Arabidopsis thaliana: one gene and its partners. The protein of the gene in region 2 interacts with the protein of the main gene of each other region in a biochemical or structural test. Each region holds a gene or a part of one and is shown on either strand. Other genes may lie near its edges.

What was found.
Region 1: the proteins of AtPOT1a (region 2) and PRL form a complex in vitro, tested with the Arabidopsis thaliana proteins (one study listed by BioGRID).
Region 3: the proteins of AtPOT1a (region 2) and TERT form a complex in vitro, tested with the Arabidopsis thaliana proteins (one study listed by BioGRID).

Annotation. Positions count from the first base shown.
Region 1 is NC_003075.7:898,893-902,647, forward strand, and holds the start of PRL (Minichromosome maintenance (MCM2/3/5) family protein), read left to right. Parts: upstream 1-1,743; 5' UTR 1,744-1,791; intron 1,792-1,862; 5' UTR 1,863-1,909; exon of another isoform or gene 1,910-2,180; intron 2,181-2,283; exon of another isoform or gene 2,284-2,355; intron 2,356-2,482; exon of another isoform or gene 2,483-2,527; 5' UTR 2,528-2,591; coding exon 2,592-2,622; intron 2,623-2,713; coding exon 2,714-2,781; intron 2,782-2,884; coding exon 2,885-2,944; intron 2,945-3,032; coding exon 3,033-3,256; intron 3,257-3,343; coding exon 3,344-3,521; intron 3,522-3,608; coding exon 3,609-3,731; intron 3,732-3,755. Other genes in the region: STP7 (sugar transporter protein 7), read right to left, coding at 1-571, 658-977, 1,059-1,203. UniProt on the Arabidopsis thaliana protein: Probable component of the MCM2-7 complex (MCM complex) that may function as a DNA helicase and which is essential to undergo a single round of replication initiation and elongation per cell cycle in eukaryotic cells.
Region 2 is NC_003071.7:1,888,718-1,892,472, reverse strand, and holds the start of AtPOT1a (Nucleic acid-binding, OB-fold-like protein), read right to left. Parts: upstream 1,790-3,755; 5' UTR 1,229-1,789; intron 1,003-1,228; 5' UTR 923-1,002; intron 760-922; 5' UTR 660-759; coding exon 533-659; intron 399-532; coding exon 262-398; intron 190-261; coding exon 1-189. UniProt on the Arabidopsis thaliana protein: Component of the telomerase ribonucleoprotein (RNP) complex that is essential for the positive regulation of telomere length. Binds RNA non-specifically. Binds specifically single-stranded telomeric DNA.
Region 3 is NC_003076.8:5,541,811-5,545,565, forward strand, and holds the start of TERT (telomerase reverse transcriptase), read right to left. Parts: upstream 1,750-3,755; 5' UTR 1,635-1,749; coding exon 1,335-1,634; intron 1,180-1,334; coding exon 1,105-1,179; intron 1,024-1,104; coding exon 958-1,023; intron 877-957; coding exon 765-876; intron 586-764; coding exon 239-585; intron 1-238. Other genes in the region: AT5G16860 (Tetratricopeptide repeat (TPR)-like superfamily protein), read left to right, coding at 2,024-3,755. UniProt on the Arabidopsis thaliana protein: Telomerase is a ribonucleoprotein enzyme essential for the replication of chromosome termini in most eukaryotes. It elongates telomeres.

The DNA of each region.
Region 1 (3,755 bases), on a different chromosome or scaffold from region 2:
TGTCTACTAATCCTATGGAAATAAATGTTGATAGGACAAGAACAGCTCCTGTTAAAGCTGATGAATAGAGAGATGCGTTTCCTCCAAACCCCATTGTCTGGAACAGAACAGGTGCGTAGAAGAGAATGGAGTTTATCCCTGTGAGTATCTGAAACATTGGCATGCAAATAGCCATAACTAGCTGAGGCCTGTGTCGTTTCTGCAAGATGTTTCTGAATGGATGTTTGATGGAATTCGCAAGCTCACTCGCATCTACCATGTCTTGAAGCTCGGCGTTGACGTTTTCTGTTCCTCTTAGCTTCACTAAGACTCGTCGACCTCTCTCTGTTAATCCTCTTTCGACCAAACTGTTTGGTGTCTCGGGTAAGAAATACCCGCCAAGCGTCATAAGCAGAGCTGGAAAAGCAGCTAAACCAAGAGAGAGTCTCCATCCCCAAGGCTTAAGCTGTTGAGTACCGTAATTAACCATGTTCGCTGTAAAGATCCCGATAGTTGTAGCTAGCTGAAACATCATGTTTAAACCACCTCGTAGATGAGTTGGTGCCACTTCTGATAAATACAAAGGAACCGCCTGAAAGCAAAAACCAAAGCAAGGTAACTTTCATTAGAGATGAGATTGGTTTATTATTGGTGACACCAACTAAACAATTGTCTAACCTGATTTCCAAATCCAATACCAACACCAAGCATGATCCGTCCGGCAAGAAGCATAGCTAAGTTCACAGCTCCAGCATTCAAACCAGATCCAATAAGAAAGCTGATTCCACCACAAACAATACTCGCACGCCTACCGTAGTTCCTAGTGATGGGTGAAGCCACGAGAGTCGAAACCAAACCAGCTAAGTAGAGTGAAGAAGTGAAAGCAGCTAAGCCTTGATTATCATATTTGCAGTAATTACTTTCATGAGCTTGCTTCTTCTTCTCATAAACCGTGTGGAAAAACTCCTCAAGAAACTCATCCATCGATGTAACTCCTCCTGCATACAAACAAAAAACCATTTCAGCCATTGTTTGATAAGATTATTAAGAAATTGGATTCAAAAGATGAAGAAAAGAACCTGAGATTCCAATGTCATATCCAAAGATGGATCCACCAATAGCTGCAACAAGGCAAGCGATTATAACATAACTAGTGACTTTCCCTTGGTATTGTTCTGCTCTCTCCTTAGCCACACCGGTCGGACCAAACGACCCTCCTGCCATTTTCTTTTCTTCTTCTTCTTCTTCTTCTTCTGCTACTACTTTGCTTCTTTTTAAGAGTTTGTTGCAACGGTTGACTTTTTTTCTTGCTTTTACTCAAATTCCAGAATCTGAGAGACAACGAAACAAAAAGGGTTATACACATTTACATCTTCACGTGGTTAGATAGATTTCAATTTGGTTAGGTTTTGGGAAAATTTTAAATGTGAAGTTTTGCCACTTTGAGATTTGTGATAATTGCGTATGGATTCGTGTTTGGTACATAATTGTTTGGAATTAAGTTCCAACAAGTAAATACGTCATTTTCTTGACCTTATCTTCACATAACAAATTAAAAATTTAATACTGATTTTGCATGTCTTCCTCCTACTTTGATCTCTATTTCCACAAAAATCATCAATGCTCGTTGGAATATTGTCAGAATATACTAATGCTATATAAGAAAACAAATACAAAAAGAGGTTTTATACTTTTTTGGTCAAATGTCATCTTCATAATAAAAAAAAAGATTACGATCTTATCCCGTTCTAACAAGTAACACCTCGGAAAAAAAAGAAATCAAAATCCTTCCTAGTAAAAAAAAAAAAAAAAGTTGGTTTCAGACAGAAAGTGAAGAATCAAGACAAGTGTGATGATTTTCGTCATAGGTTGAAAGAAAACAGATTAAAAAAAAAAGAAGAGGACTTACAGGAGAAAGAAGAAGGAAGATGTAACGATTTGTTGTAGACTGGGAAATGATTCAGACTTGTGTGTGCTATTTATTCCATGGATTTTTTGATCGCCTACTATGAAGGCGATGTTAAAGATGATGTTGACCAAGTTTTGATCAAAGTCGAATACAGAGAGACTAAATATACAACAACAAAAAAAAAAATCAAAAGCTTTAAATTCACACACACAAATTTCGATAGTAGCTATGGATTTAAGACAAGTGTAAGAAGAAATCACACTAGTTTTCAACGTAAGGAGGATGATGAAGATGACATTATTGTATCCACATTTGTCACCCATTTTTTGGAAACAGATGATAATATTATTAAATCTTTGGTTAATTAAATACTAAGGGAAAGAAATAACACAAAAGTGGTTGTAGTATAGCGGTTAGTATCCCACGTTGTGGCCGTGGGGACCCGGGCTCGAATCCCGGCAGCCACACTTTTTGTTACCTCTTCTTTTTTATTTCCAGCAGGGGTAGTTTCGACATTACATTAATCACGTGATCATTAGATCTGGACCGTTCATTTTACTCCCCGCCATTTCTCTCTATAATACTTTTCCCGCCTAAACTCATCGTCATCTACAACCCTTTTACCGCCCAATTTTGCAGTCACTGGTTCATTCCTTTCTCTTCTTCCTCTTCCACTCTCTCTCTCGACCCAAGTTTTGAAACCATGAAAGACCACGATTTCGACGGCGACAAAGGTTACATTCTCTCTTCTTCTCCGTTCTCGATAATCTTTTCCCTCTTTTTTCGCTGAGTTTTGATTCTCACTTTTTTTCTTCTTGTATATAGGGCTTGCCAAGGGATTTCTCGAGAATTTCGCCGACGCTAATGGCAGATCTAAGTACATGGAGATTCTCGTAAGTCTCATTTCCAATATCTTCCACCAATTTCTCTCTTCTAGGGTTTTCGCGAATCTCCCTAATTTTAGGGTTTTATGTTCTATTTTATGAATTTGTGTAGCAAGAGGTTTCAAATCGTAAGATTCGAGCTATTCAAGTCGATCTCGATGACTTATTCAATGTGAGTTTTTTTTTGTTTCTCTCTAATGTTGTTTCTGTTTTGGATGTTGCTATTGTAGAAGCCACTCATCTCTTTTGATATTGTGTAGTATAAAGATGAAAGTGAGGAGTTTCTCGGACGGTTGACGGAAAACACTCGCCGATATGTTTCAATTTTCTCCGCCGCTGTTGACGAGTTGTTACCCGAACCAACGGAAGCGTTTCCAGATGATGATCATGATATTCTCATGACTCAGAGAGCAGATGATGGGACTGATAATCCAGATGTTTCTGATCCTCATCAGCAGATTCCTTCTGAGATTAAAAGATATTAGTAAGTTTTGTCTGAGTCTATTTGCTGGACATAAGCTTTAGGGAATGAGTTTTACAATAGTTTGCTAATGAATTTACTTTTATTCAGTGAGGTTTATTTTAAAGCTCCTTCAAAGGGAAGGCCATCTACCATCAGGGAGGTTAAGGCTTCACACATTGGGCAACTTGTTAGGATATCTGGTATTGTGACCCGTTGTTCCGATGTCAAGCCATTGATGGCGGTTGCTGTTTACACATGTGAAGATTGTGGTCATGAGATTTACCAGGTACAACTATGCTTTTGCCAGATTGTAGTTTCTTTTTTATTTTGTTAACTACTAACTCTGATTATTTTCTTTTACATGTCAAATCAGGAAGTTACATCTAGAGTCTTCATGCCTTTGTTTAAGTGTCCTTCTAGTCGCTGTCGTCTTAATAGTAAAGCCGGGAATCCTATTCTTCAGCTCAGAGCATCAAAGTTTCTAAAGTTTCAGGAGGTTCTGTTTCTGGTCAATGAGTGC
Region 2 (3,755 bases):
AATAACTTGGCTACAACCCGCAAAAACTTTGCGTAAATCATCCATGGCACTCTTGTATAATGCTTCTTCTTCATGAAAATTGGTACTACATTGGTAACAAACAAAATCCACACCTTCGAACAAGGCAAAGGAAGAAACCCATCTACTACAAGCAGCATTTACTCTTTCTCCACTATCAAAAGTTTGCATCTACACAATAAAAATCCAAACTTTATAACCTCCTGCACAAAACACAGAAGGAAAATGAAGAGGTCTTTGTACCTTAATGCGAGTAAACAGAATCATGTCGTCGTGGTTCTTGATTTGAGGAAGTTGTTCAAGAGTCTTACTAAATACATTAACAGTAAGTCCAGGACTTGGATACGTATCATCAATTATCCGTAGCGTACAAATCCAATCTAAGAAAAAAATCCAACTTTCAGATTTTGTTGGGTCAAATGTTAGGGCTTTCACAAAACAAACCAACTAAGATTCAGATTCAAGCAAAATTCTATGTATTTAACTCAAATTTTGGTTTTTTTTGGATAAGTACCATTGTTGCGACATTGTTTTGGTTCTCTTTGTTCAAGGACGATACCAATGAGACTGACTTGTTGGTTGATGAGTTTAATGGCGTCTTTGATTTTGATGAGCTTGGGACTCTCTCTCTTCTTCGCCATCTCCCGCTTTGCTACAACGTTTTTAAGTATTATCCTGACGTCACAAAATTAGAGAGTGGTAATATGTGGAATGAGTATCAACAGAACACTAAGCACCAACCTGCAGCCCATAGCCAATAAGTGGAGTGAGTATACATTGGAGGCAATAAGTGGAATGAGTATACATTGGAGCCAATAAGTGGAATGAGTATACATTGGAGGCAATAGAATAGCCATCAACGGAATGACAATGCAAGGATATCAAAAGAACACTAAGCACTAACCTGCAGCCCACTGGAAGTATTCAATGCAGAATCAGACTGAAGGCAAAAAAACTTTATCTTTCTCTCACTTGAATCATCCCCTGGATATAGCAAATTTCATCACAATGGTGAGAAGTAACCAAAGCTAACAAATGTTCCAGAATATGATCCTTCCCTTACATCAACCATCTCTCACAAGAAAATTCTTCAATCCACAATTTTTACTACTTTTATCTACCAAATCCTCAAATCCATTACAATGAACATAATCCCATGAATACAAATGATATATTTTGTTGTGATTAGATTTTAAAGGAATAAACTAACCTCAAGGTCGTATCTGTGCACATTGTTTCCGGCGACGACGATTGCCACCGGAATGAGACCTTATCAATGATCAATTCCGTTAGGTATCGAAATTAGAACCCCTTCATCAACGAACAACACTAGATCTCTCCAGTGAAACGGCCGACGCTTCTCGATCCTCTAACGACGCTCTCAATTCCACATTCTTCTCGCCGTTCTCCGTGAAGTTGCTTCTGTGAAGATTCACTAAAGTCCCAATCAATGTAATCGGAGAAATCTCCGACCAAATCGCTATCGCCAAAGAGACTGTTTTTTTTTTCTTGTTTCTTTTTTTTGCCAAAAAGTTATGTTATATATATCAACCCAGTGCATCATCCAATAATGGTGAACCTTGGAGAGGCCAGTACAAACAGGATACAGAGATAGAATTTTTACATATCAAAGACGTCTAAGTAAAGATAACAACATTTACGTTACAGTTAAGGTACAATATTGAACTACCACGAGCATCTCCAAGAGATACTCTATCCCTCAAATATAAAGTTTTAGGTTCTCTAAAAGATAATCCAATATAATTTAGAGCATATCCAAAAGATATTTTATATATAGAGTATGTAAACTTCAAATATAAAGTATGAGTAGTTTCTTCTCCAAGAGTATACTTTAAATATGAAGTTTCTAAAATATGTGTTTTGCATTATAGTCTTTATATTGTTCATAATTATTTTAAAACTATATAACTTTAATAATAACACTAAAACATACATTAAAATATTACACATAATCTTAATTAACAAAACAATACATTTATAAATAAAATACATATAAATAAAAATTAAAAATACATAAATTAACTTATAAATTACAAATTACTCAATAAAATTATTTTCGTAATGCTCTCATATGTGATCAATCAATGCATTACGAAGAGATAGATAAGTCTCTTTATTTTTAATCTGTAGATTACGAGTCAAAGTGTTGAAATATTTTGAATATATAAAAATTAAAGGACTAAAATGATAAGGGAATGTGACACGTTTAGACACTTTTAAAGAATTTTATTCCTTTTGAGGCACTTTTCAGGGATTAGGCACTTTGCCATCTTTTTGAGGAGAAATTGGACTAATTTACCCCTGAAGTAATGATGACACAATAATTATTAAACTTATTTTTGATGAGATCGTGTGGGTAAGAAACTATCCCCCTTTTATCATCTCTCTCTTCCATATTCTTTTGTTTTTCATCATTTTCAATCTCTCTTTCAAAATCATTGTCGTTCTCTATAATTTTTACAAAATCATGAAAATTATGAGGTTATCCTAAATTCACAATCAAAATCTATGTTTACCCTAATTTTTTTTTTTTTTTTTTACTTTTGTATATTTTTCTCCATTCGCTGGAAAACTTATGGCCACCACCATCGTTTCTTATCGAAGGATTATTAACATTAGAAATCCAATTCGCCGAAGATTAAGACAGAAAATATTGGTCTCAACTCAGATCACTAAGGATGTTTGAATTGGGGAAGAAGAAAAACTGAATCATTGTTTGGGAGAGGTAAGAGCATCTTTAACCAAATTTTATCCTCTCTCGTATTGGATTTTTACTTGGCTTTATCTGTTTCTTAAGATTGAATGTTAAATTGATAAATAGTAAGATAGGATTCAATCCCAAGTTAGGATCGATTTGACAAATTACTTGAAGAATTTTAAATTAAGTAGTTGACTCAATCCCAAGTTAGGATCCAGTGATATGAATGTTGTGAATTGACATTGAAATTTGATTTGTTAAAATGCATCTAGTTTTCCAGTTAAAATTCTAATACCCTTCTCTGGGAACACCTTGAATTCCTTGTTTAATTTTTGCTCTATTTCCAGCCTATAGATACGTAGTTGGTCTTCAAAAACTTTGGCTAACAATAACTTTGTGTTAATCTCTTTCTATCTCAAAAATGCTAGGGAAGATGTGATATTTGGTTTTATTGGAGCTATCGTTTCCCAACAGATACATCTTCCGGATCTAGAAATGATGTGTTTAGATCACACACCTATCCACACCTCTATATCCATATGACTTTTTACATTAGCTGCAATCACCAATTTGTTTTGACAATTTGTTCACATGTATATGGATACTCTTATCATTGCATAGCACTTGGCCACTCTCTTGAATTTGATGACGTTAAACTGATCATATGATTGTTGGCTTTTTAGATTTTAGATTTTGCTTGTTTATGGAATGTTTGTATCTTAGTTCTAACAATGTGGATGACGATAATGGAATGTTTATATGGATGGCACATTATGGATGACGCATCGTGGATTGTGCAGATTGTTATGATGAGAGTTGTGAATCTTTTGGTCTTACATGTTAAGAATTGGAAAAGCTATATGTGGTGCTTTTGGTACGATTGTTGTCCACAAAGTTTCATCCATCTGATTCTTAAAGAACATTTAGTCATTCTAAATCATTTAGATATTCTTTTTAAAGATATAATTGTTCACTGACGAGTGTCCAAACAATCAAGTCCAAATGGTCACCTAGTAAC
Region 3 (3,755 bases), on a different chromosome or scaffold from region 2:
TAATGAAGTGTCAGGAAGAATATTAATAACCACCAGAATACAACAAGATAAATGATACAGTTTTTAAAATACACCAAAGTACAACTACAAAAATAGTCCCATCAATTTCTCAAGGCTGAGGATAAATCAAGAGCAATTTATACACGTCTCTTAGTAATTTTAAGCAATAACTTTATGTTTAAACTTGTGCATTTTCAACTTAAACTTGATTGATCAATATCATTGTTACGAACATTACCTGCTTTACAAAATCAGTGAGACTTCCATTTATACCAATGTGCAGATTCATTTCGTCATTACCAGTTGAGACTTTACCATTTGTACTGGGAGTTATACAAGGAGCATTACAGTCAACTTTTTTGAAATTGACCTTTCTCTGCTTTCGCCGACGCTTAAGATATATTCTTGAACGCTTAGTAGTTTTTTTCTCTCTATGTTGGTCTACATCCTCGCCAACTATGGGCGTAATAGTTGCAGAGTCATCCTTAGGACAGTCATCGACAGCTGAAGAAAGCCACTGCCTTTTCGTTGGTGGCTGAACGTTGTCATCCCTCTTTCTTTTGTTTTCATGGACTGACAATGTCCCTATACCATGGAGAAGGAAAACTTTACTAAGTTAATATGAACTAAAAACCAGAAGTTGATAATCGATAACCAAGCAGTCACAGACAAATCATAAGTATTCAGAGAACCAACAAGAAAGTGGAAGTTTCAAAAGAAAGCCAACAGAAGAGCTCGGATACAAGTTTAATTCTGAGACTCACGCTTATGCTTGATACATAGAGGAGGTCCAGACACTTGCTGGTGTTTTTTCCCTAGTAATGGTAAGAATATTGATGTTTGCTGTAGAAGATAAACCATGACGTCATGACCGACCTATAAACAAGGGAACTTGAATATTAGTGACCGCAAACTCGAATATTGAAAGTAAATCATCAAAAGGGTTTGAGAACAAACCCGCTTGAGAAGAAACTCCCAAGATGAACTTGTCAATAGCTCCAAAATAGGGCTCGACTGATCATACTGTCAAAGGAGACGAGAAATCATTAGGCTAAGAAAATCAGCACTCTACATTGAGTTTGAGAAGGAAGAAGAAGAATTCACCTTATCATATCTGGCACATATCACATTTTGGCAATCACATCCAGATTGCATCATTTCAATAATCCTTTCAACAATCTGATAAACTCAATTGAAGCAAAATGTTTAGAAATCAGCAACATCATACAAAATAAGATAACATAGAGGCATTTTATAAGGAGTAGCCACGTCTTGAAATATCTCAAATTAAGCACTCAAAGCAATGTATAGTACAGTGGGAAGAAGAATCTTACCTCTCTCTGTGACCACCAAGATGTTGGAGAGAAATCCAGAAGCGGAGGGGTTTGTTCGTGAAGTACAACGAAGCAACGGTGAAGAAGTTTACGGTAGTGAATGGGATCATCGGAACGCAGCAGAAACGCCGGTTTATCGCTGCTGCAACCGAGACAACCTTGACCCCGGCATCGGCATTGCTCCGGCTGGATATTCCGGTTAGGAATCAGATCTACTATTGCGTCGTTTAAATTCCTGGCTCTGTTTCCGAATAACCTCCATAGAATCTCCGGTACACGATGTCTAGGTTTACGCGGCATTACACCTTCCTCCTCCTTTCTCTCGAATTTGGAGAGAGAGAAGAGTGAACGAGCTTCGATAATGGAGTCTGATGGTGTGAAAGAGGCGGGAGATTAAAGGTCTTCTGGGTTCTCGAAACTATAAACTGCGATTTTGAAAATTTCAAAACAATTCAAAGCTGAGCTACAAACGCTATCCAAAGCGTCCACTCAACCGCAAACGCAGGTCGCTTAGCACATAAACCGAACCGAAATTCGCTTTAAATTTTAATCGGTCTATTATACTTTCTTCTTCTTTTCACATCCGGTTTCATTACTTTCTTCAAATTTCCAATCTAAAACCGGGATATAACCGAATTGATTTGTTTAGTTTAAACGCAGAAATCACCCGCCACTCTAGTTACAGTAGTATGATCCGCCGCCTTCTCATCCCCAACGCCGCCGCAAAATCTCACCAGTACATTAAAGTCTCTCTCTTCTCGACATCGGCGCCGGAGATAACACCGCCGTTTATTCACAAATGCAAAACCATCTCTCAGGTCAAGCTTATTCACCAGAAACTCCTCTCTTTCGGAATCCTAACCTTGAATCTCACTTCCCACCTCATTTCCACCTATATCTCCGTCGGTTGCTTATCTCATGCCGTATCTCTCCTCCGTCGTTTTCCTCCATCTGACGCTGGTGTCTACCATTGGAATTCACTCATTCGCAGCTACGGCGACAATGGCTGCGCCAATAAATGTCTCTATTTGTTCGGCCTTATGCATTCTCTGTCATGGACGCCGGATAATTACACATTCCCCTTCGTCTTCAAGGCTTGCGGCGAGATATCCTCCGTTCGTTGTGGAGAATCTGCTCACGCGCTTTCTCTGGTAACTGGATTTATCTCCAATGTCTTTGTTGGGAATGCGCTTGTTGCTATGTATTCCCGTTGTCGTTCATTGAGTGATGCACGGAAGGTGTTCGACGAAATGTCTGTTTGGGATGTTGTATCGTGGAACTCTATAATAGAAAGTTATGCAAAGTTAGGCAAACCTAAGGTGGCGCTTGAAATGTTTAGCAGGATGACCAATGAATTCGGATGTAGACCTGATAATATTACCCTTGTGAATGTTCTTCCTCCTTGTGCTTCCCTAGGAACTCATTCACTAGGGAAGCAATTGCATTGTTTTGCAGTCACAAGTGAGATGATACAGAATATGTTTGTAGGGAATTGCTTGGTGGATATGTATGCAAAGTGTGGGATGATGGATGAGGCAAACACGGTGTTTTCGAACATGTCAGTGAAGGACGTAGTATCTTGGAATGCTATGGTTGCTGGGTATTCACAGATTGGAAGGTTTGAAGATGCTGTTAGGTTATTTGAGAAGATGCAGGAAGAGAAAATAAAAATGGATGTTGTTACTTGGAGTGCTGCTATTTCAGGGTATGCTCAACGGGGACTTGGATATGAAGCTTTGGGTGTGTGTAGGCAGATGTTGTCTTCTGGGATAAAACCAAATGAAGTCACGCTTATTTCGGTTCTTTCGGGTTGTGCTTCTGTTGGAGCATTGATGCATGGTAAAGAGATTCATTGTTATGCCATCAAATATCCCATAGACTTGCGTAAGAACGGTCATGGTGATGAGAATATGGTAATCAATCAACTGATTGACATGTACGCTAAGTGCAAAAAGGTTGATACTGCACGTGCTATGTTTGATTCACTTTCCCCCAAGGAAAGGGATGTTGTGACTTGGACTGTGATGATAGGTGGATACTCCCAGCACGGGGATGCAAATAAAGCTCTCGAACTTTTATCTGAGATGTTTGAGGAAGATTGCCAAACAAGACCAAATGCTTTTACCATATCATGTGCCCTCGTGGCATGTGCCAGTTTGGCTGCACTAAGAATTGGCAAGCAGATTCATGCTTATGCGTTGCGCAACCAGCAGAATGCAGTACCGCTGTTCGTATCAAACTGTCTAATAGACATGTATGCAAAATGTGGAAGCATCAGTGATGCCCGCCTTGTATTTGACAATATGATGGCGAAAAATGAAGTTACTTGGACATCTCTAATGACGGGTTATGGTATGCATGGTTATGGAGAAGAAGCTCTTGGAATCTTTGATGAAATGAGGAGAATAGGTTTTAAGCTTG